Notamacropus eugenii: one gene and its partner. The protein of the gene in region 1 interacts with the protein of each later gene in a pairwise test. Links are inferred from orthologs where the notes say so. Each region holds a gene or a part of one and is shown on either strand. Other genes may lie near its edges.

What was found.
Region 2: the proteins of TFG (region 1) and MAPK1IP1L interact in binary tests that used the Homo sapiens proteins (3 or more experiments, as listed by UniProt). The two-hybrid records come from large-scale screens. The link is inferred for Notamacropus eugenii from reciprocal best matches to the Homo sapiens genes TFG and MAPK1IP1L.

The regions. Positions count from the first base shown.
Region 1 is NC_092876.1:369,383,350-369,394,208, reverse strand, and holds the start of TFG (protein TFG), read left to right. Parts: upstream 1-6,556; 5' UTR 6,557-6,688; intron 6,689-6,972; exon of another isoform or gene 6,973-7,427; intron 7,428-10,859. UniProt on the Homo sapiens protein: Plays a role in the normal dynamic function of the endoplasmic reticulum (ER) and its associated microtubules. Required for secretory cargo traffic from the endoplasmic reticulum to the Golgi apparatus.
Region 2 is NC_092872.1:333,130,736-333,141,842, forward strand, and holds the start of MAPK1IP1L (MAPK-interacting and spindle-stabilizing protein-like), read right to left. Parts: upstream 5,224-11,107; 5' UTR 5,084-5,223; exon of another isoform or gene 4,907-5,083; intron 4,733-4,906; 5' UTR 4,661-4,732; intron 1-4,660.

The DNA.
Region 1 (10,859 bases):
GAGATGAATGAAGGGAAGAACTTGTATGGGAAAGAGTGAGGAAGCATTCATCAGATTTGAGATAGATGTGGAAACAAGATTTGAATAAATAAAAGAGGATGGATTGGGAGGAATGATTAAAATTTTTCTTTTCACAGAAATTATGTAATATATGAAATGAAACTAAAGGGATCCATACAGGTCAGAAAGTCTTTTGACTTGCAACAAATTTAGGAAAATAAACTAACTGCAGAAAACACTATCAGCATCGATTAGTACTAGATTATTTTCTAGCAGAGAAAGAGGGAAAATTGAGAGACATCACAGAGAAATTTGTTTCCATAAGTTCAGAATAGCAAATGGGAGACATAAGGAAGGAGTTATGTTTCACAGAGAAGATAACAGACAACGCAAGGATCCAACTGGTTTTGAACTTGTTTTGAGGTTAGAAGTCAACTAAGTAGAATAAAAGTGAAGTCTAGCTTGGAATTCTCATAAGTAAGAAGCTTACAAATATTGACTTCTCCTCCTCTAGGAAAGCTAAAGGTTCATTTTAATGGTCAGACAATACTTGTAGCAGAAGTGGGAACACGGTAGTGGAAATTGTACACCCTGTATTACCCAGTCATTGGGAAAATAGGGGAGGGTCTCTGTAGTCAAGTAAAGGTTTTTTAAGGTTTACTTTTGTTTCTGAAGGGTGTTATCTTCACTCTTCAGAGTGTGAATGAATTATTTCTCATGTTCCTGCCTTAGAAGCAGGCTGGGGCCAGAAGCCTTCCATTATCAGTGAGCCCAAATCTCAGCTACCTTTAACCTAGCCTAGCCCTCCTTTGTCTTATCTCCAGGGAACCTTCAGCTACTTCCCATCTTTCATGCTATCAAAATGCTTTTTTCTTGGTTCCTGCTCTCTTGACCTCTACTCACCCAAATTACTGGTCACTCCCTTCAAGATCCTCCTTAAACGCCTCCTCTACTCACCCCAGACTACTTGACCATGCCTAGATCCCTCCCATAGTCTTTCTGGATATAAGATCCAACTTGCCTCCATGAAAGTGCGCAGATTCCATCTGGCCCTTATCACCAGGGCTCAGGTTCTAAATGGTTCACTTGTAAGTCACAAATGCACAGATTTCTAATGAGTCTACCCCAAATGGCAGACCTATAATAAACTTCAACTTCTGCTGGAAGAACGCTTGGCTCAATTTTTCCGGGAAGAATAGGGGCTTGCTATATCAGGTTCCTCACACCCCTAAACCTCAACATAATGACTTGCCCAAGGTCACATAGCAAGGAACAGTCCAGTGCAGGATTTGAACCTGGCTATTGTTGCTTCTACTGTGAAAACGTCCTAACAGCATTTACATCCTGCTTATAGACATATATAAAAATATTTATAACTGCTCTTTTTGTGGTTGCCAAGAATTGGAAATTGAGGAGATGCCATCAATTGGGGAATGGCTGAACAAGTTGTGGTATATAAATATAATGGAATACTATTGTTTCATAAGAAATAGTGAGTAGGCAGACTTCAGAAAAACCTAGACAGTCTTGCATGAACTGATGCTGAGTGAAGTGAACAGAACCAGAAGAAAACTGTACACAGTAACAGCAACATTGTGCGATGACCAACTATGTTAGACTTAGCCCTTCTCAGCAATGCAAGGATCTAAGACAATTCCAAGAGTTATGATGGAAAATTCTATCCACATCCAAAGAAAGAATTACGGATTCTGAATGCATATCAAAGCATACTAATTTTCCTTTTGTTGTTGTTGCTTCTTTGTTTTTTTTCTCATGGTTTTCCCCCTTTGTTCTGATTCTTCTTCCACAAAGTGACTAATATGGAAATACATTTAGTATGATCATACAACTATAACTTATATCAGATTGCATGACATCTTGGGGACAAAGGAGGGGAGGAAGGGGGAAAAATCTAGAACTCAAAATCTTATAAAAGCAAATGTTGAAAACTAGAAATTAATTAATCTAAAAAACAAAACAAAACAAAACTTTCATCATAACCCCAGTCATTTAGTCCTAGCTACAGCTCAGCCTAGCTGTTTGATTGAACTGACACTGGAAGTCCTTTTGCGTTATCCAAAGGTGAAGGATCACAAACAACCAGAAGACTCTGAATGTGCAATAACTTTGGATCAGAACAGGTGTCTGAGACCCTGCTATTCTCTGGCTAGGGGAAGTTTTGTGTTTGAGTACTCCATGGTTATGAAGGGCTAAAGAATTGGTTTTCTCAAATACATTAATAAATTAATTAAGTACTGTCTCTGGATGTAACAATTTTTTCAGGATTAAGGTCTTCAAAGTTAATCCTTAAAAGAAACCAGGGTTGGAGCTACCTCAGGTGCTTAACCAAGTAACTTGGTAATGATAATGTTTCTCATCTACCTGAGCAATAAGTAGCAAGAGATGGATAAGAAGCTGTTGTTTTCTCAGGTGGTGAAGAGGCATAGAACAGAATAAATAAAAACCTCCATAAGTGAAAGTAGTGAGGTAGTCAGATAGAGGTTGAAGAGGACTTCAAACCCATTTCCCTGAGAGGGACCTAGTTGGTGAACTCACCTTTACCTATGCAAGGACAGTTCCAATCCTGGGCTCTGATTCCTGGCTTCTAGCCAAGCAAAGACAACATTCTGCAGCCATCTCTTTTGAAAAGTGAAGTAATGAGAGGACTCCATCTTTACTCAAACACTTTCAAGAGTGTAAGTAAGGAGGATTTTGCTATCCTTCTTAGATTTAAGATCCATGGTCATTGCAACATCTAGTTTCCAGGTGTTAGATAATAACTCCCAGAATAGCTCCAAGGATTCTAGATAGTAGTTCCTAGAATCATAACGATAGGCAGTCCTACTGAGGCTATGCCATGAAATATGGGGTGACATAATTGGTATTTACTACACTTGTGCTGAATGATGATACTGCTAAAGCTAACCTGTGAGGCCACTGTTGGCAATATGTCTTCTTTGTATGTTACCCTATAAAGCAAGTGGGCACTGGTCAGTGAGTGGGGAATCTGTGTGTGTCTTGACCAATCCTCATCAAGGCTTGTGAGGATTTAGGGGAGTGCACAAGCTGTGCCTGTCTCGATTGACCCCATTGAGATGTAAGGGTAGTTGATTCCCCCGCTTATTGCCCGCCCCTGTAAGAAGGGTGATTACAGAATGCTGTAGGAGCTTGTGCTCCCATTATCTGCAACCCTTCTGAGAAGATTAGACAAGAATAAAGCTGATTATTAACACCTCCAAAAGTGTCTGCCTGTCTGACCAGAGCAAGAGTGAACCTGTTAGAGGCTGGAGTTCCCAACTCTAGGGTCTCCCGTGTGTTATCTATGAAACAAAGAGAAAAGGGAATTATATTGAAATATAAAAATACTGTGATATTTTCAGAAGGGTAAGGAACAATTTTTTTAAAAGTTTAATTATTTTCTCTCGTAGCCTCCCTTGAAATAAAACAGCAAATACAATCTTGTTATCACTTTTCCTCCTTATCTATGATATCACAATCAGGGAGAATGTCATCCTGGAACAGGTAATGTAAAGAAAAAAATTAGAAGGCAGTATATTTGGCCAGTGAGAACTCATAGTCTGATTATTCAGAAACAGGAGGGACTATCAACAATGACTCACATTTATGTAGCTTTATGGTTTTCAAAGAACTTTCCTCATAAAGGCTTGCTTGATGACTTCCAGCTTTTCATTGTCTCTAAGAATATATTAGTACTGAAAGGTAAAATGTATCACTAAAGGGAAATTATAACCTGGATTCACTAACCTCTAAGGATCCTTTCAATGTTAAATCTGTTATCCTTTGTATTTTTAAAAATAAATACTGTATTGGAAACTTTAAGCAATAACAAAATTAATGATTCAAATGGATATCTTTGAAAAAATAGGGCCCTTACCTAAGGTGGCCCAATTATAGTCTTGTCTTAGAGGTAAATTGATGGACTAGATAATATTTCAAGGTCCTTTCCAGTTTTATGATCTTACAAATGCTTATGGGCTTCATTTTTCTACTATCCAACAATGTATAGGTTATATTCCTATAGTCTACAGAAGAAGAAAAGCATGCAGGCAGAAACACTGTCAGCAAAATGTCTGAAAATATAGCCTTTAGGAGACATAAGTGAAGAAACCTTACCCATCTCAATCTAGAAGGCAATAAAGCATGCACTGGCAAATGGCCATGAAGACACTGGGGATAATTTCACTTGTCTTCTCAGACACACTGTGTATGTGTTAGAAAATGGTTTCTAGGGACTAGAATCCTGGGCTTCATCCCTTCCTCATGTAATAGACTCACTATCAGAATTCCATAGCTGATGCAAGATCCAGTGAAGAAGTTTAGAGTCAGGTTAATTGCCTCTAATAGGAAGCAGCATATGGGACCTAAAATTCAGAGATTTGGGTTCAAATCTCACGTCAGCAATTTACTAGCTAAGAACTTTCCTTTCCTCATCTACAAAATATTACTAATGCAACAGCATAAAGGGCAACTAGAACATTCAGGCTCTTGGTTCAAGGCACTTTGTGAGTCATTATCCAATTAGTAATGTGATTACCAGTGAGAAAGCATGCCCCCTGCACTAGACAGAGTATGTAATCAAAACCATAGTTCATGAGACTGGTGTGTTTATTTTTCCTAGGGCAATCAGAAGACATTGATTCAAGACATAAGATACTTAATTAAAAAACATAAAATAAGTGATGCCCAACTGCCCACCCAATGGTAATCACATTACTAATTGGAGAAGAGGCACATGCAGGAAAAATGTGTGAACCAGGAATAAAGAACATGTGTAGACAAGGAATATATGTTTTGGACCCCGGAAGTGTATTTTTGGCCACACTCTGACTTGAGTCTCTACTTGTGATGATCAGGAACAGTGTGAGGGAGATGACCGGTCCAGGAGAAGTAAGGGATCAGAGTTCTGGAGATTGTCAGCTATCATGAAGCCTGGGAGAGTAGTGACGAAAGGCTGAGACACCAACTTCTCTCTCCCAGTGCTGCCATTGTCTTCCTGTTATTCCCCTCCCTTATTCTCACTTTACAAACTATGAATAAGGGTGTGGTGGGCCCTTATCAGTTGCCTGAGCGTAGAGAAGTAGTTGGCTGGAATTTTGGAAAATGGTTGGATATAGTGATCCACGGAGAAGCAATCAGTTAATTTCTTTTCATCTTTGCTATAACAAATAAACTATGGGGCCATAGAGTGTTACTGCTAGTATCTTATGAATATCAGGGTGTGTAAGTAAGTCAGTCATTTGACTCTTAGGGAAAAGTCCAGATCTGAGAAGAGTGAAGCCATTGATTTAAATAATTTATCTGACATTTCTGGAAAACATATTCATACCATGCCCCTAGCTTCAGTGAAAACCTAGCAAACTCCTCTGTGAGTAAAATTAAGTCAACAAGCATTTATTAAGTGCCCACTATGTGCCAGGTACTGTGCTAAGTGCTGGGGATACAAAGAAAGGACAAAAACCCAAACCTAAACAGTACTTTCTCTCAAGGAGTTAAACGTCCCATGGGAAGGCAAACAACTATTACTAAGCCACTGTGCTAGTTCCAAAAGATACCTACAGGCACCAAGAATGAAACGATACCTGCATTTAAAGATCTCAGCATTCTAAAGGGGGAGACAAGTATATGTAATACACACACAAACACAATACTTTACCTTTATGCATGTAGTATGCACGCACACACACACAGAGCATAGAGTGCATAACTACAAACACATCGTAGTTCAACACAAGTTAGCTTGGCAGGAGGCACTGGGAGTGGGTGGACCAGCAGGGTGGTACCTGAGCTGTAGCTGGAAAGGAAGAGGGGGATTCTCCGAAGAAGCCAGCTAAGGGAATGCCCTCCAGATACGGGAAATGGCCAAGGCTCAGAGATTAGATAGATACCTAAGCCATCTTCGTGCTTATTACTGAGCAGAATGAATTTATTATATTGGAGCTTATTGAAAAGCTGGAAGGGAACTCAGTTCTCATCCAGGGGTTCTTACAGTGCACAAAATAAAACACAAGGCCAATTATACTGACATGCAGTTACAAAATTAATAACTGTTTATGGACCCCAAGATTAAGGATCCCCGATATGGGCGAAGCCTGAATCTCAGGCTGTGCAGGTGCCTTTTAGAAAGGGGTGAAATCCACTTCTTAGTCAAGCGCATGCTCAGTGGGTCTACATGTCAGAATTCAGGGAAATAAAAAAAAAAAAAAATCACTGTCGCACTTATGCGCATGCGTAATTTCACCATCCACGCCTTTTCTCCCCCCTAAATGCCATTAAAAAACAAAACAAAAACTTCACAAGCTTTCAGACACGGCCATCAGAGCTACAACCTGAAACGCATGCGCTTTAAGGTAGAAGAGGAGAGGCACTTGTCAAGGCGGAAGGAGAGGTTTCCTTTCTTTTTCCCTTCGCCTCTCCGCCTCCTGGCCACGCCCCCTGCCCTGCCCTCCCCCGAGCCTGCCACGTACGGGGCTCGAGCTCACGCTAGGCTCAGTGGGTCCAAGCGATTGGTTGAGCCTGAGGGCGATTTACGGCGGCGGCCGAACGTGACGGACGGTAGCCTCCTCCCTGTCGCTGTGGTGGCTTCGGCACCGGCGCTACCTTCAGAGACAGGACCGGAGCAGCAGGCGAGGCCGAAGGCACGGCGCCGGCTGCGGCCCCGACGAGGAAGGTATTTTTGGTCGCTCGAAACTGGGGTGCGCCTGCTGGCTGCCTCTCGTCTGTCTCAGGCCCACTGTGCGGGCATGCGCGCCGAGGCCTTGGTGGGAACTGGCTCTGGGCTGGCGGATGGGGGCGGGGGTGGGGCGCGAGGAGACTGGAGGGGGACGTGAGGCGAGGCGAGGGGAGGGAGGGGCACCCGGAACCGGCTCTGGGCTAGGGAGGGGCTCGAGGCGAAGGAGGGGGCTGGGACCCGGCTAGGAGCGGGCGTGGTGGTGGGGGCGGGACCCGCCAGGGGAGGGATAACGTCACGAGCTGGCTGCGGGGAATGGGGATGCGCGAGGGCTCACGCGGGGGGCGCGCGCCGCCGGAGCTGGGATAGAGATGAGCGGAGGAGGGAATGGGGCTGGGATCGGTCGTCTGTGACGTGGGAGCTACTTGTGGAGAGAAGGCATGGGGGGCGGGATGGCCCCCTTCCGTTTTGACTTTTGCTCCCCTCCCAACCCCCCGGCTGTTTCACCAAAGCGTAGTAGGCGCGTGAGGGGCGCTAAATTAATGGAACGGAATGACTGGGGAAGTGGGGGTGGGGGGGACAGCTCTTGCCTCCGGAGGAGCTTGGACAGCGGAGCCAGATCCTGCTGAAGACTGTCACCGTGGAGGAGGGCCTCGACCTTTGTGCAGCCAGCTCACCAACGCCTTTATTGGTGTTTAGGCATATGTTGCTTCTGTGAGCAGGAGTTCTTAAACCTAGGGTACGTGGACCCGTCTTCCCCCCTTCTTCCCCTAACCTCCCCCCCACCCCGTACTTGGAAAGACTTCAGAGCGTAAACGAGTGGAAGAGAAGAAAAAAAATCACCCGAATTTCTGTGTAATTGATTTCCTTTGCAGTCATACGCATTGTATGTTAGGCAGTTCAAAACATTTTTAGAAGATTTGTGGTTTTCACCAGAGTACCAAAAAGGTCCGTTGAGCTAGAAAAAGTTGTCAACCGTGAACAGCTGTACTTTGATCGTTTGAAACCGGGGTGTATCCATTGTCCTTGCAACTGGATAGGTATGCCTTAAAACATAAGTCTCATCTCACTTCCTTGCTCTAAAGCTTTCTGTGGCTCCTTGTTTCCTCTGGGAGGAAAGACAACATCCTTTGGTGGGATATTTAAAGCAAGTGATGACTTGTCTTCAGCCTTTATTAACAGACTAATTTCACAACACTTGCCTTCAGGCACTCTACCTATTTTCACTATTTCCTCTCCCACTGCCCTGACTATTTTTAAAGGTTTGTCCTCTGTCTTTAGGACAGGTAAGTGGTTAGTGGGTAGAATGCTGGGCCTGGAGTCAGGAAGACTCATCTTCCTGAGTTCATATTTGACCTGGGACACTTTACTAGCTGTGTTACCCTGGGCAAATCACTTAACCATGTTTGCCTCAGTTTCCTCATCTGTAAAATGAACATGGCAAACTGCTCCAGTCAGTATATTTGTCTAGAAAACCCCAAATGGAGTCAAAAAGAGGTCAGACATGACTGAACAACCTCCATCCCAGGAATGTTCTATCTTCTCACATTTGCCACTTGGAAGTTCCTAGCTTCTTTCAAGGCATGCCTGGAGTGACACATTTTACACTAGATATTTATTCCTCCACATATTATTTTCTTCATTACTTCATATATATATGTATATATATATATATGGATGTGTATATATTTTATTTGCATGTTTTATCCAAACTCCTTTGGAGCTGTTCTTCTTGTCTTTGAACTTTCTACAGTTCATCATAATAGGCATTATATTAAGTTAAATAATTATTAAATATTAATTATTAAATAATACCTATTAAGGTATTTAATAAATTGAAGAACCAATTCTTGCATTGGATAGGAAGTTATCTCAAAGGTCCTGAAGAGTATTAAAGCTAGGAAGAATAGAAAAGGTCATCTCTAGTCCAACTCCCTTATTTGAAAAAACTGAAACCCAGACAAGTTGTGACTTTAATAAAACAATAGCTGGTGAATGGCAGAGATTTGAACCCAAGTCTTCTGATTCTAAGTGTAGTTAAATTAAATTAAATACTTATTAAGTGCTTGATGTTTGATAGAATAAGAGTGTAGATAAAACACAAGGGGGGCAACTGTGGTGATGAGTGAAGTGACAGGGATAGACTTCAGACCTTTTTCCTCATAACTCCAAATCTACTTCCCACTGTACCATCTTGTTTCTTCACTGTGTATACCAGCTCTTTCTTCTTCCAGCATCATTGAAAGTTAGCTTGGTTCTGTACCTCAGAGAAAGGGTGACCTTGATGGGTAGGACTTGAAATTCAGTATTCTGATGAATATTGAATCCTGTTTCAAATATATGAGATCAGGCTTTTGTGTGACTGTGAACATGTCCCTTTTGCCTTCTGTGCAAAATAATAATAAATCTTTGTGAAATTGAACTAGGAGAATTCCTCACAAAGGCTTAGTAAGTTTTGCTTTCTCAGGTATTTTGTGGACTTTGAAGGGAGAATGATGTTGAAATGGGCTATTTGGGTTCGGCAGCAATCCTAGCTGCTCATTAGCTCAATAATAATACTACCAATTTCTTGCTGATGAGTCATGAATAGATAAGAGGACTAAACTTTATTCACCTTGTAACATTAGAAACATAAGAGTGGTTTATTTTCTTTTTGGTTGGTAAATTACTTTTTTTATATGCTTGCTGTGTGCCAGGGATTGTGATAAGCCTGGAGATACAGAGTAAGACACAAGACAGTCCTTGCTGTCAAGGAGCTCAGAATCTGACAGTTCCCTGACAACAAAGACAGCTATATACAAACAAGCTACATACAGGATAAATTGGAAATAATTAATAGAAGGAGGCATTAGAATTAAGGGGATTGGGAAAGATGGGATTTTAGCTGGGATATGAAGGAAACCATGCAAGATGAGGAAGGGGAGCAGCATCAAGGAGGGCGTTGTCACCAGACTGTAGATTGTGTGTGTATGGTGGGGGGACCAATTGTAAGGTATGAGAAGATTGGAAAGAATGTATGGAGGAGAAGGCAGATTATGAAGGACTTTGAGTGCCAAACAGAAGATTTTATCTTTGATCCTGGAGGTAATAGAGGACCATAGGAGGTAAATGAGTAGGAAGGTAGTATGGTCAGGCCTGTACTTTAGGAAGATTACTTTGACAGTTTAGTGGAGGATGTCTAGGGGAGAGATTTGTGGCAGAGAGTCCAGCTGCCTCTCTATTGCGATAGTCCAGTTTGAGGTAGTGAGAGCCTTCACTGGAGTGGTGGTCAGAGGAGAGAAGGGAGCATATGTGAGAGGTGTTATGAAGATAAAATTGGTAGCCTGGGCAACAGATTAGATATAGAGGTTGAGAGAAAGTGGGAAGTTGAGAATGACATATAGGTTGCCCTAGATTGCAAGCCTGATTGCCTGGAAGGATGGTGGTACTCTCAATGGTAATAAGGAAGTTAAGGGGAAGGGAAGGATAACGAAGTCAGTTTTAGACATTTTGAGTTTAAGATGTCTGTGGGACATCCACTTCAAGATATATGATAGGCAGTTATAGATTCAAGACTGGAAGTCTCCAGAGATTATGGTTGAGTAAGTAGCTTTGGGAATCATCAGCATAGAGATGCTAACTGAATCCGTGGGAGCTGACAGTTACCAATGAAATAGTATAGTGTGTCCTATGGGTCACCTATGGCTAACTGGCATAATCCAGATGAAGATATTGCAAAGGACCCCGAGAAGTTGTCATGTAGGAAAACCAGAAGATCTAGATAGAGTATCAGGGAAAGGTGATTTAGTAACTTTGGATTGGATGAAAGCCAGATAAAAGAGAGTTAAGAGAGTGAGAGGAAAACAAGTGGAGGCACTTAACTGTGCCTTGAGATGGCTTTCTCGAGGAGTTTAGCCACGAGACAGAGGAGGGAGATGGAACTAGCTGGGATGGACGTATCAAGTTTCGCCTTTTTAAGTATGGGGTAAACATGGACATATTTGTAGGCAGTAGTGAAACAACCAGTTGACGGGGAGAGATTGAAAAAGAGTGATGGGTGGGACGAGTGCCAGAGGCTGCAATCTTGTAGAGAAGATGTGTTGAATAGGGTCATTTTTTGTGCCTGGAGAAGGGTTTGACAGTGATGAACATGGGGATGGTGGCAGCAGGCATCTCAGAGATATAAGTTGAG
Region 2 (11,107 bases), on another chromosome or scaffold:
GGTGGTACAGTGGATAGAGTGCTGGGCCTTGAGTCAGGAAGATGTGAATTCAAATCCAACTTCAGGCACTAGCTGTGTGACCCTGGACAAGTCACTCATTCCTGTTTGGCTCAGTTTCCTCAGCTGTAAATTGAGCTGAAAAAGGAAATGGCAAACCACTCTAGTATCTATACTAAGAACACCCCCCCCCCCCCCCAAAGGGTCATGAAGGGTCAGACATGACTGAAATGACTAAATAACAACAAATGCTGGTATATGACTAAAACCTTGTATGTCACAAGAAATGAGAAAAGAAATGTGCTTTTTTTTTTTTTAACAAACTTGTTCAGTTGAATAAACTGATATATAGAATGAATGCCTAGAACCTGTAGAATAATCTTAATAATAATAATACTATAAAGAAAAACTACTTAAAAAACAAAAAACCTTGATCCAATCACTATTCCAGAAGACCAGTGATGAAAGATGTTATGTACCTCAGAGACATGAGGCATTCAATCAAAAAAGATTTTTCAGATGTGGAAAATAGAGGATTTGTTTTACTTGAGGATTTACAGAGGATTTCTTTTACTTGTATTTTAACAAAGCGTTTTTTATGGGGGCTTGCAGGATAGGACAGTCACTGTGCAGTGGTGGTTTGTTTTTTTTTTTTTTTAAATCCTCAATAGCTAAAAAAACTGCAATGAGACTAATTTAGAAAGACAATACAAATTTCTTCTGAAACATACTATATTACATGTAACATTAAAAACTCCTATTGCACTGATTAAAGATGACAATTCAGTCACTATTTCTTTTAATACTATAACCACATACCAATACATTTATTTACTTATGGGTATTCCAATGTGTCACCATAGCTCTGGTTTTCTTTTGTTTTGGGGGCACATTTTTACAAACTCTGGAAGTTGAAAGCAATCTTAGAAGCCATCTATTCCAACCCATGCTTGAAAAGAAATTCCCTACTACATCACTAATCACTCCATCAACAGGAGACAGCATCTATAATCGTACTGAAAGTCTACTATATATCAAACACTGTTTTGGGCACGGGGCATACAAATAAAAAAGTAACAGTCCCTACCCTCAAAAATTCTCATCACCTATCTCCCTGACTCCACAATAAACAAGCATTTTGTTAAATGTCATATACCAAGAACCATACTAAATGCTAGGGTTAAAGAGAAAGGCAAAATTAGGTCCCTGACCTCTAGGAACTTATATTCTAACAGAAGAGACAACATGTAAATATACAGGTATATACAAAGGTAAGGAGGCAGAGCATTCCAGCCATGAGACAGCCAGTGCAAAGGCAAAAAAGAGATGGAAGATGGAATGTCATGTTCAAAGCCAGTGTATCTGAATGGTAGAATGTGTGGAAGTCAACTGTGATTAGACTGGAAAAGTAGGAAGGTGCCAGAGCTTAATATGTCAAATAGAAGAGTTTATATTTGATCCTAGAGGGAACAGGAAGGCACTGGAATTCAGTGAGCAAGAATGTGACATGGTTAGACCAATACTTTAGAAAAATCACCGTGGCAGTTGAATTGAGGATAGAGAGAGTGGAGAAAGCTATTGCAATAGTCCAGATGAGGTGATTAAGGGCCTATTCTCCATGCTGGGACCGTATAATAATCTTCAGCCTTTTAGAAACCTTAACTTCCTTTAAGTTCAGCTGAGGAAGCATGAAGACTTTCCAAATGCTCCTGGTTGGTGACAATCTCAAATTCTTTTGTATTTACCATACCTCTGTAAATTTATGTCCTTTTAGTAGACTATAAGCTCCTTGGAGAAAACGATTGGGGGGGTGGGGGTGGCAAGTGTCCCTAGCACCTAGAGAACCTAGATCTAAATATCACTTCTGATGCTTACTTACTGTGTGACCTTAGGCAAGCTGCTTAAACTCCCTGACTCCTCAGTTTCCTCATTTGTAAAATGAAGGGGTTGGACTAGATGGCTTTTTAGCCATTTTCCAGCTCTAGATCTGTGATCCTAGTAGGCATTTAATAGAGGTCTACTGAACTGGTTTTACTTAGCTGAATTATTTCAGCATTTTGATTGTGCTTTCTTAACATTTTAATTTCATACTTAATACATATTAAGCTCTGTTCTAAATCCACCTTCAACAGTAGTTAATAATGTTAAAATGAGAGCTCAAGCTAAGAAAGTCCTAAAGTAGGGTTTGCAATCTGAAATCCATGAACTTTTTAAATTTTTGATTACTCTATTTCAATAAAGTTGGTTTTCTTTGTAATCCCGTGTATTTTATGCATTTAAAGACAATATTCTGAAAAGGGATTCACAGGTTTCACCAGACTGACAAAAAAGTTCATGACACAAAAATGGTTTAGAATTCCTTTCCAAGAAGAAAGGAATCCGGAGAGAATTACTTTCCTCAACATATAGAGGTTTTTCAATACAAAGTGCTTTTCTAAGGCACTAGTCCTGATCTTTTGGAAGTATCAAAACCTTTCACTTTAAAATAAAATTTGAGCTGAAACTTTATGATAGGATTTATAAAGTAGCCTAAAAAATGTTAGTAATGATACTAAGAAGCATAAAAAAAGGGGCAAAAAACCTACTTTCAGTCCATTTTTATTCACATTCTAACCAGGGCACAGAAACTATTAGTGAAACGGATGTGGTTGGTTGTTAACAGTGTTCTGTAACTAGGAAAAGTAGTGGATGGGGTAGTTTATCTCTGAAAGATGCTTTTACAATAATTTTCAGTAGTCCAGAGGGCTATTTCCATTCATCAGATTTTTAATTTAAAAAACATGAACATTCTTTTAATTCATGTTTTAATTTTTAAACAATTTTGTAAAAAGTGGTAACATAAGACACACTATCCTTTGAGATTTCCAAATAGTAGGCAGCTGTTGTCATGTTTGCATTGTTCTGTATTTGGGCCAATGAAGCTGATGGACGCTTGTTTCATCCTCTGAGTTTTGGTTATTAACATTTTTGATTTCCTATCTCTGTAGGCTTCCTAATTTTGTCCAATTATTCACAATGACCAGTGGTGCTAAAATCTACAGAATACAAAGACATCAATTACTTTAGTAGTCAAGATACTGACAGAGTGTAAATGTCATTGCAGTAAGCATTTACATAGACCTTTAAGATTTACAAAGTGCTTTGTAAATATTATTTTATTTTATCCTCATAAAAACCCTGGAAGGTAGATGGTAACCCCATTTCACAGATATGGAAACTGAGGCAAACAACAGTTACATGACTTCCCAAGGCTCACTTATTAAGTATCTTATTAAGTACTTATTAAGTATCTGAGTCTGGATTTAAGTCAAATGTTAGATATAACACTACTAGAAAACTGAATTTTCAGTATCTTCTAATTACATGTACCCTGATACAAGCTGGAAGCATAAAGTTTTGTTTAATGTCATAACTTCTTTTAATCTCCCTCACAGCTATTATTCTTGGCAGAATCTCAGAGTTCTGTGGAAAATACAGCTTAAGAAACACTAGTTTAAAAGTTAATTTAAGAAACAGGCCTTGACCTTTGACCCAGAGATTGGTCAAAGATATAGTGACAAATAATAAAAAGAGATCCCATGAACACCAAAATATTTATGGCACTACTTTTCAGACTATCAAAGAAGTGAAAACAAGGTGCTCATCAACTAAGGAATGGCTAAATTGTGGTACATGAATGTTACTGCCTTTAAGAAAAGAATATTATAAATACAGAGAAGCATAGGGAGGCACATGACCTGATATAAAATGAAGTAGGCAGAACCAAGAAAATAATATGTAAAACAATGGAAGGAACAGCAAAGGAATCTGAATTCTGTTAAATGATGTAATGATGAAGTTTGGCCACAAAGAGTAAATATGAGAATGCACCTGTCTCTCTTAGGGGTGAGGGGGAACTGAGAAAAGTTATGGGTGTGGAATTGTGCATGTCATATTGGACTTGGCTGATGTGTTGAAGAGTTTGGCTCATTCTTCTTTTTCATTCTTTGTTGTAAGGGATAGCCCGCGGGAGGAGAGTGGAGGAATATATTGGTAAATTGCAGAAAAGGATAACAATAAAAATGAAATACCATCGTTGGCACCCATCAGCCACAGAAACCGACATTCTCTTAAGAACACTGCTTAATGTTTATTGTGTACCAAAAGTCTTTGTACATTTTCAATCCCTTTAACAGATTACACTAAGACTTATGGTAAATCCTTTATATCACTTATATTTTTATCTGTGCTGCGTACACAAAGTTGAAAAGATCAATGATTAAACTGATTGCGAACATGTAATTGCTAACCCTTCAAATTCAAAAGAGGATAATAAAGAAACTGAAAGCTCTTTTCGTCTAGCCCTTAATACAGTCTCATAAATCGAGGGTATCAAAATACTACATTACTTGTTGATGGTAATGGGTTATTAAAACATCCGAAGAGAATCTAAAGAAACTAGGAACAATTCAAAATATGAATTTTTTAAAAAAACTGCTTCCCAGAATGAGTCCTTTTCTATTTCTAACTGGCTACAAAAGCTAAGGGTAGGGGGCATCTAAGCATCCGCAAGGGGATGGATAAAGGGAGGGCACGGTGGCCACGATATGCCAAGGACACCACTCACCAGTCCCCCAATTCCCCCCTCCCCAAACCCAGCACAAGAGGAATAAACAAAAAGTACCTGAGGGGAAGGGCAAAGTGAGAAGAGAGCCGCAGGTCCTGGGTCGCGGCCAGGGACCTTACCCGATGGATTCTACAAAGGGGAAGGGGGGAGGGGAAATTACCTGCTCAGGACCTTCCGCCTAGACGTGCCTCTGACGTCACGAAGGCTAGAACGTCACCGCTCGTGACACCTCTCCCCCTCCCCCCAGGCCCCGCCCCTCCCCCCCAGCCTTGCCCCACAATTAATTCTCTTCCCCCGCCCCACCTCGGCCCTGGAGCTCGACCCCGACGTTCAACCGAAGCGCAGTCCCCCGCGGCCGAGAGGAAGAGAGAGGCGGCGGATGGAGCTCCGCCACGGCGCGCCTCCCGCCTTCGAGCCCCTCAGCCCGGCCAGAACCGCGTCCCCGCGCCCCACCCCCACCTAGCTCCGAGGAGGCCTCACCAGACAGGATCGGACCCCAGACCGAGAGGCCAGAAGTGACGACGGCTGGAAGGAGGCGCTGATGACGAAGGGTGAAAAAAGAGGGCGCGAGAAAGCAGAGGAAGCAGAAACAGCAGCGGGCAGCGGCGGCGGAGGCAGCGGGAGCACACGACTCCTCCCCCTCGGCCGGAAGAGGAAGCGGCCCGTACGGCGCCGGCGCTGGCTTCGGCGCTGGCCCCGCCCCCTCCGCTGCGCTGACTCTATTCTCCCCACCCTCACATCCCTTCCCCGGGGAGGCCCGAGGGAGGGGTTGGGAGCTAGGAGTCCGGGCAATGCCGCTACGACTGCCTGTCCTCAGCTTCGCGGCAGCGAGTGCGCTTGCGCCTGCCCCCCCCCCCCCCCCCCCAGCTTCTGGCGGGGCTCTGACGACAACCGGGCTCCTCGGAGGGGTGGGGCTAGAAATTCCTGCCCTAATCGGGACAGACTGCAAATCCAGTTTGGGCTGTGCTGGAACCGGCTGCTACCGGCTTCTCCGAAAGCCATTGTTAAAATTTCCATCAGCGGCTGTACCTTGAGAATCGAGGCTGCGCATCAGGGCTGGGTTTCGTTGTTCTGTTGATCCCCTAGACTTAGGAAAGCTGCAGGGAGAAACATGGACGCACATTGAAAGTGAAGGGTGGTGGGGTTTTGGTTCAATTTTTTTTTTTTTGAGAATTGGTTAGATGTTCTCTAACGTCCAATCCTCTTAAAGGTCACGCCTGAACAAAGAGCTTGATTAGGTTCCCTCTACCTATACTTCATTGCCAAGTCAGTTTATTGATCCCAGAAGCACTGCATTCAGAACCAGCTGGGGAGGGTGGGGGGTGGTGGAAGGACTGGGTTGAAACCCTGCCTCAGACACTAGCTAGCCTGTGTATCTATAAAATGAGAAATAATGGTAACACCTCCAAAGAGGTAGCATGAGTAAAGTGCTTTGTAAAGCGCTTCAGGTATGCTGACAATATTCTCTGCATCTACCTCCAGGACTCTTCCCTCTTCCTCCTTGAAGAGGCACCTTGGGGGTCCACAGAAAAAGCAGCAGCCCTTGGGATTCTCCTACCTTCACCTCCCTGAGCTTCAGCTTCCTCCCCATATGAGGATAAATTACGCCTACATGGAAGATATGTTCGTGGAGGTTATCTTAAAACAACCTTTCACTGTACCCCAAAGAGATCATAAAAACACCCCCGTGTATAAAGATATTTATAGCTGCTCTTTTTGTGGTGGTAAAGAACTGGACGTTGAGGAGATGCCCATCCATCCGGGAGTGGCTGAACAAGTTGTGGTATATGAATGTAATGGAATATTATTGGGCTCTAAGAAATGATGAGCAGGCGGACTTTAGAAAAAACCCGGAAAGCCTCATGGGAACTGATGTTGAGTGAAATGAGCAGAACCAGGAGAACATGGTGATGACCCAGCTCTTCTCAGCCATGCAAGGACCTAGGACAACTCCAAAAGGCTCACGTTCATGCTGTCTACATGCAGAGAAAGAACAGCGCTGATGGAAGCATGCTATTTGCTCCTTTTTGTTTGCTGTTTTGATTCTTCTTTACAGTGTGACTAATGTGAAAATGTTTGAAGTGAATGTATAACTAGAGCCTGTATCCAATTGCACACCTTTTTGGAGAGGAGAGAGGAGGGAGATGGGGAGAAAATTTAAAACTCAAAATCTTATGGAAGTGAACATTGAAAACTAAAACTAGGTAAATTAATTATTTTTAAAAATTTTAAAATACAAACAACCTTTCAGCAAATGGCATGGATAGATATGTTCTGAGGTCTTGCTCTGTAGTCAGAGTAGAAAGGCTGTACCTGTACCAACTGCGTTTAGGTAAGGGAAAGGAGGAAAGGCATGTAGGATCTATAAACCCAGAGAGCAGGCAATCTCTCCTTCAGTCTCCAAGATGGGTATTTGACTAGAATTTTATCCATCTGCTACTCATGAAATACCAAATAAGTGCCATTGTTGAAAGGAAATCCCTAATGAATCAAACAAGTTCAGGAAAATGAAAAACAGAAAAAAAAAGAATTTTATTATAGCACAGGAGGCAAACACCTTGTGCAGCCCAGGTGCCAATTTCAAACCTCCCTGTTGCTTTTATAGACACCTTTTTGAAATAAGAGCAAGACAATCCTGATAGGTACAAGTTTCCAAAAGAAGGTGAGATGAAAGCACATGTGGCTTCCTGATGACTTAGCCCAATACAAAGGACAAGGAGATGGGATCAAAGTACATCTCTCCTCTCTCCCAGAAACTGGTTTACCTCTCCCAAAAGACTGATTGACACATACTGGGAAAACAAGCCAGACTAGAACAAATGGGGTCACTCAGACTGACTCAGCACAAATTTCATTACCACACTGGACAGAGCACTAAATCTAAAGTCTGAAAGATCTGAGTTCAAATTTGGTCTCAGTTATTTTTTGGCTGAGCCTGGACAAGTTACTTAATTTCTCTGTCTCAGTTTCCTCATTGGTAAAATGGAGATAATAAAACCTTCTAAGGTTATTGTGAGACAAAATGAGATGTTTGTGAAGCTCTTTGCAAATCTTAAAGCACCAAATAATTATAACTATCATTATTATTATTATTATTGGGGAGGGTAAGCCTTATCCTACACTCACCAGCTTAGCCTACATCCATCAAATCCTAGTTACACAAAAGACCAACATAAATAGTAAATAATCAGCAACCCATTTATCCAAGTAAAACAGCAAAAAAAATTTTTATAGATTAAACTATACCAGTAAATAACGAGTACAAACTGTTCTTACTTATGTGGTTCAGCAGACCTTCCACTCCTTTCTCAGGGTTCTGCATGACCCTGCCCCCTGAAGCCCAAGTGCCTGGGTGCAGACCCCTGCTGCCAGGAGTCTGAAACAAGCCAGCCTGGAGCCCTAATAAATACAAATTTATGCCAAGAGAGAGCTATCTGTTAAAGGAGTTTTCCAGTTGGGAGTAAGAGGTACTAACTACCAGAAGAGAACGATCACAGTCTGGGGATGCCATATCTCAGAAGTCACCAAATGCTTAGCACAGGGCCTTGGCACATAGTTGGTGATTATTTAGTACTTGTTAACTTGAGTTGTAAGCCCTAGAGATAGAGAAACATGATGGGACTGGCATCTCATGTGTAAAACTTGGAGGGCTACAGCCTGCTATTCAAAGGCTTTCATTTTTCATAATCTCTCAGGAGGTCTTTTCTCCACATGAGTCTCTGAGGCATGTCTAGAACCAAATATATTCACAGGTTTTTGCTCAACATTCTGTCAGTCAGAAGTCATGTCTCCCACTGAAACATGCAAAACCACCCCAGACTTGAGTGGAAGCTAAGTTACATGTAAAATGAGAGGAATGGACTACATGGCCACTGAAGTCCCTTCCAGCTCTAAATCTATGATTCTATTGCATTACATGCCTTTCCCCTCTTCGCTCCCCAGTATTTAAAGCCCAAATTTCCACAGATCCTGTGGGAATTTGAGCAGCCAGCTTCTAGCTATATATCATTTTGGCTGCTTAGCTGGACAAACATTACACTGGGTAGCATCTAGGAGAAGAGGAGAGATCTGACCCTTCACTCCATTTTACATCCGTTGCTCTTCCTTGCTTCAACTCCATGGAACAAGATGTCCCTCTCAGGATAATCTTATCGCTTCTAAACTCACCACCATGCTGCTAACTCAAGACTTCTTGACAACACCTCCCTCAGCATCCTTTCCCCTCTGTTTGGAAGGTTTGAGGACAGAGTATCAAACTCTTCCCAATGCCTTCCTTTATAGAGGTCGGAAAATGGACTCTCAGATCACTTCACTTTACTTGAGCTACCCTGCCTGGTTTCAACTCCACAAAACAAGAGGCTGTCTTGAGTACCCTGTGGTGTTCTATTTCCCTTCCCAAATCCCTCCCCACCACAATCGTAACTCCTTTTGTATGTTGTTTCCCCCTTCTGATTATTGACTCCTGAGGTCAGGGACTATCTTTCTTTTTATTAATTGTATCTCCAGTGCTTAGCATAGTGTTTGGTACATAGTAGGTACTTAATAAATGTTCATTGGATTAGAGTATTGGTTGGATCTTGTATACTACCCTGTAGCATCAATGTGATACCCACAACAGCTACTATGGATATGCATGCATACTTCCAGGGCACATTCGCAAAATTTGAATTCTCTTCCTCAAAGACAAAACTAAGACATTTATTCAGATGCCAGAAAGCAAAATCCATCATAGTAACAAAAATCTATACACATTATCAATGCAGGGAGTACAGTCATCTCCAAGCCTTCCCTCCAGCAGGCCTCCCCCAAAACAAACTCCCTTAGGTTCCCCAAAAACAAACTCCCTTAGGCAAAATCACTCCTCTCACTCACCCTAGCTACTCTGCTCTGCCTGCTCTCTCTCTCAGCTCTACCTCACTCTCTCTTCCTGCTTCACCCTTCCTGCTCCACCCATTTGGCAAGCTCCTCCCACCATCAGCTCCATGTGAGTCAAGCTGTGGGCTGGCTGGAGTTCAAAGCAGGTCACGTGGGCCTATTAAGGGGCAGCGTAGATCTTCAAATTCCCTTACCCACCCTGTAGGTGACAAGATGTGATCTCATTGAGGTGGGGATGATAGTCCTTAACCTGACCTTATGTTGGCAGGAACCACTACTTTCCATATGGAGTATAGGACTCAACTCAAGGGCTTGTACTGGGACCTCTGGCTGACTGTCTCCCTTGGATGTTTCCTTCCTTTGGCATCAAACTTATGAACATTAAAAGGTCTGCAGATATTGTAGCTAGGGTAAATAGCTTCCTCCTCTTTTCTACCCCTTTCTACATACCAGAGCAGCAATAAGGAGAAAGTGCAGAAATAGACTGGTATCAAGAGAACTGAGCAATTTTGGTAACTGAGGTGAAAATATTCTAATATGTTCCTTGATTACCTTAAAACCTGGAATAAGACTAACTTAGGAAAATGGACCAGCAGCAGATTAAGAGAAAAGTGATGACCCAACATGAATAATATGAACAGCAATTGACTTTAAATCTCCATTACATATATGTTAAATTTAATATGCAGTGTCAATACTGTCTTCCTTATCCATGACTTGTTCTGAACTTGTCTCTGCTTTTTTTCCCCTATGTATTTTTGAAATAGTTCTCTAATTCTCTTTCATTTATCATCTTTTTTTTTTTTTTGGTATCTCTATCACTACTGCACCCTCTAAGTCTCTCCCACCCCTGAAAATAAAAGCTCTCCCTCTAAATATGTGTATAAATATGTGTATATACATGCATATACATTTATTTACTATTTCCCTTGAGATTCTTGAGTTTTGGTACTATTTTATATATTATATGTATTTATATAATTATATGATTTGTATAGTTTTATTTTAATTAATTAATTTGTTTTATCATCTAATTATTATCATTTGATAATATCATCTAATTATTGTAATTAGTTTTGTTATTATTTTTGCAGCTCTGTAAAGTAATCTTTTGTTAGATTGATTGATTCATACTGAATAGGTAAATACATTTAGGCAGTATTGTCATTTTATTCCATTAGCATGGCTTCACCATGAGCCATTGATATCTCTCCAGTTATTTAGGACTTTATTACAGTGAAGAGAATTTTATACTGATACAATTCCTTTGTGTTTCTTAGTAGGTGGATAATTTATTCAGTCTTGTAGTTATGGAATTTTTTTTTCTATCTCTCCTTGAAAGTCTTGTTGGCTATTTATAAAAAAGGCTTATGAGGTTTGGATATATTTTATATTCTTTTACTTTCCTAAAATGATTGCTTATTTTAATAATTTTAGTTGGTTCTCTACTAACCAACATATAATTTGCAAAAAAAGGTGTTTGTTTCCTTCTTGTCTCTGTGTATTCTATCAATTTCTTTTTCTTGTCTAATTGCAATATTTTGCATTTCTAGAATTATAGGTATTGAGAATGAACATCCTTGCTTTATCCCAAATAGTATTTCCTTACAGATAAAGCTTCCATTTGGT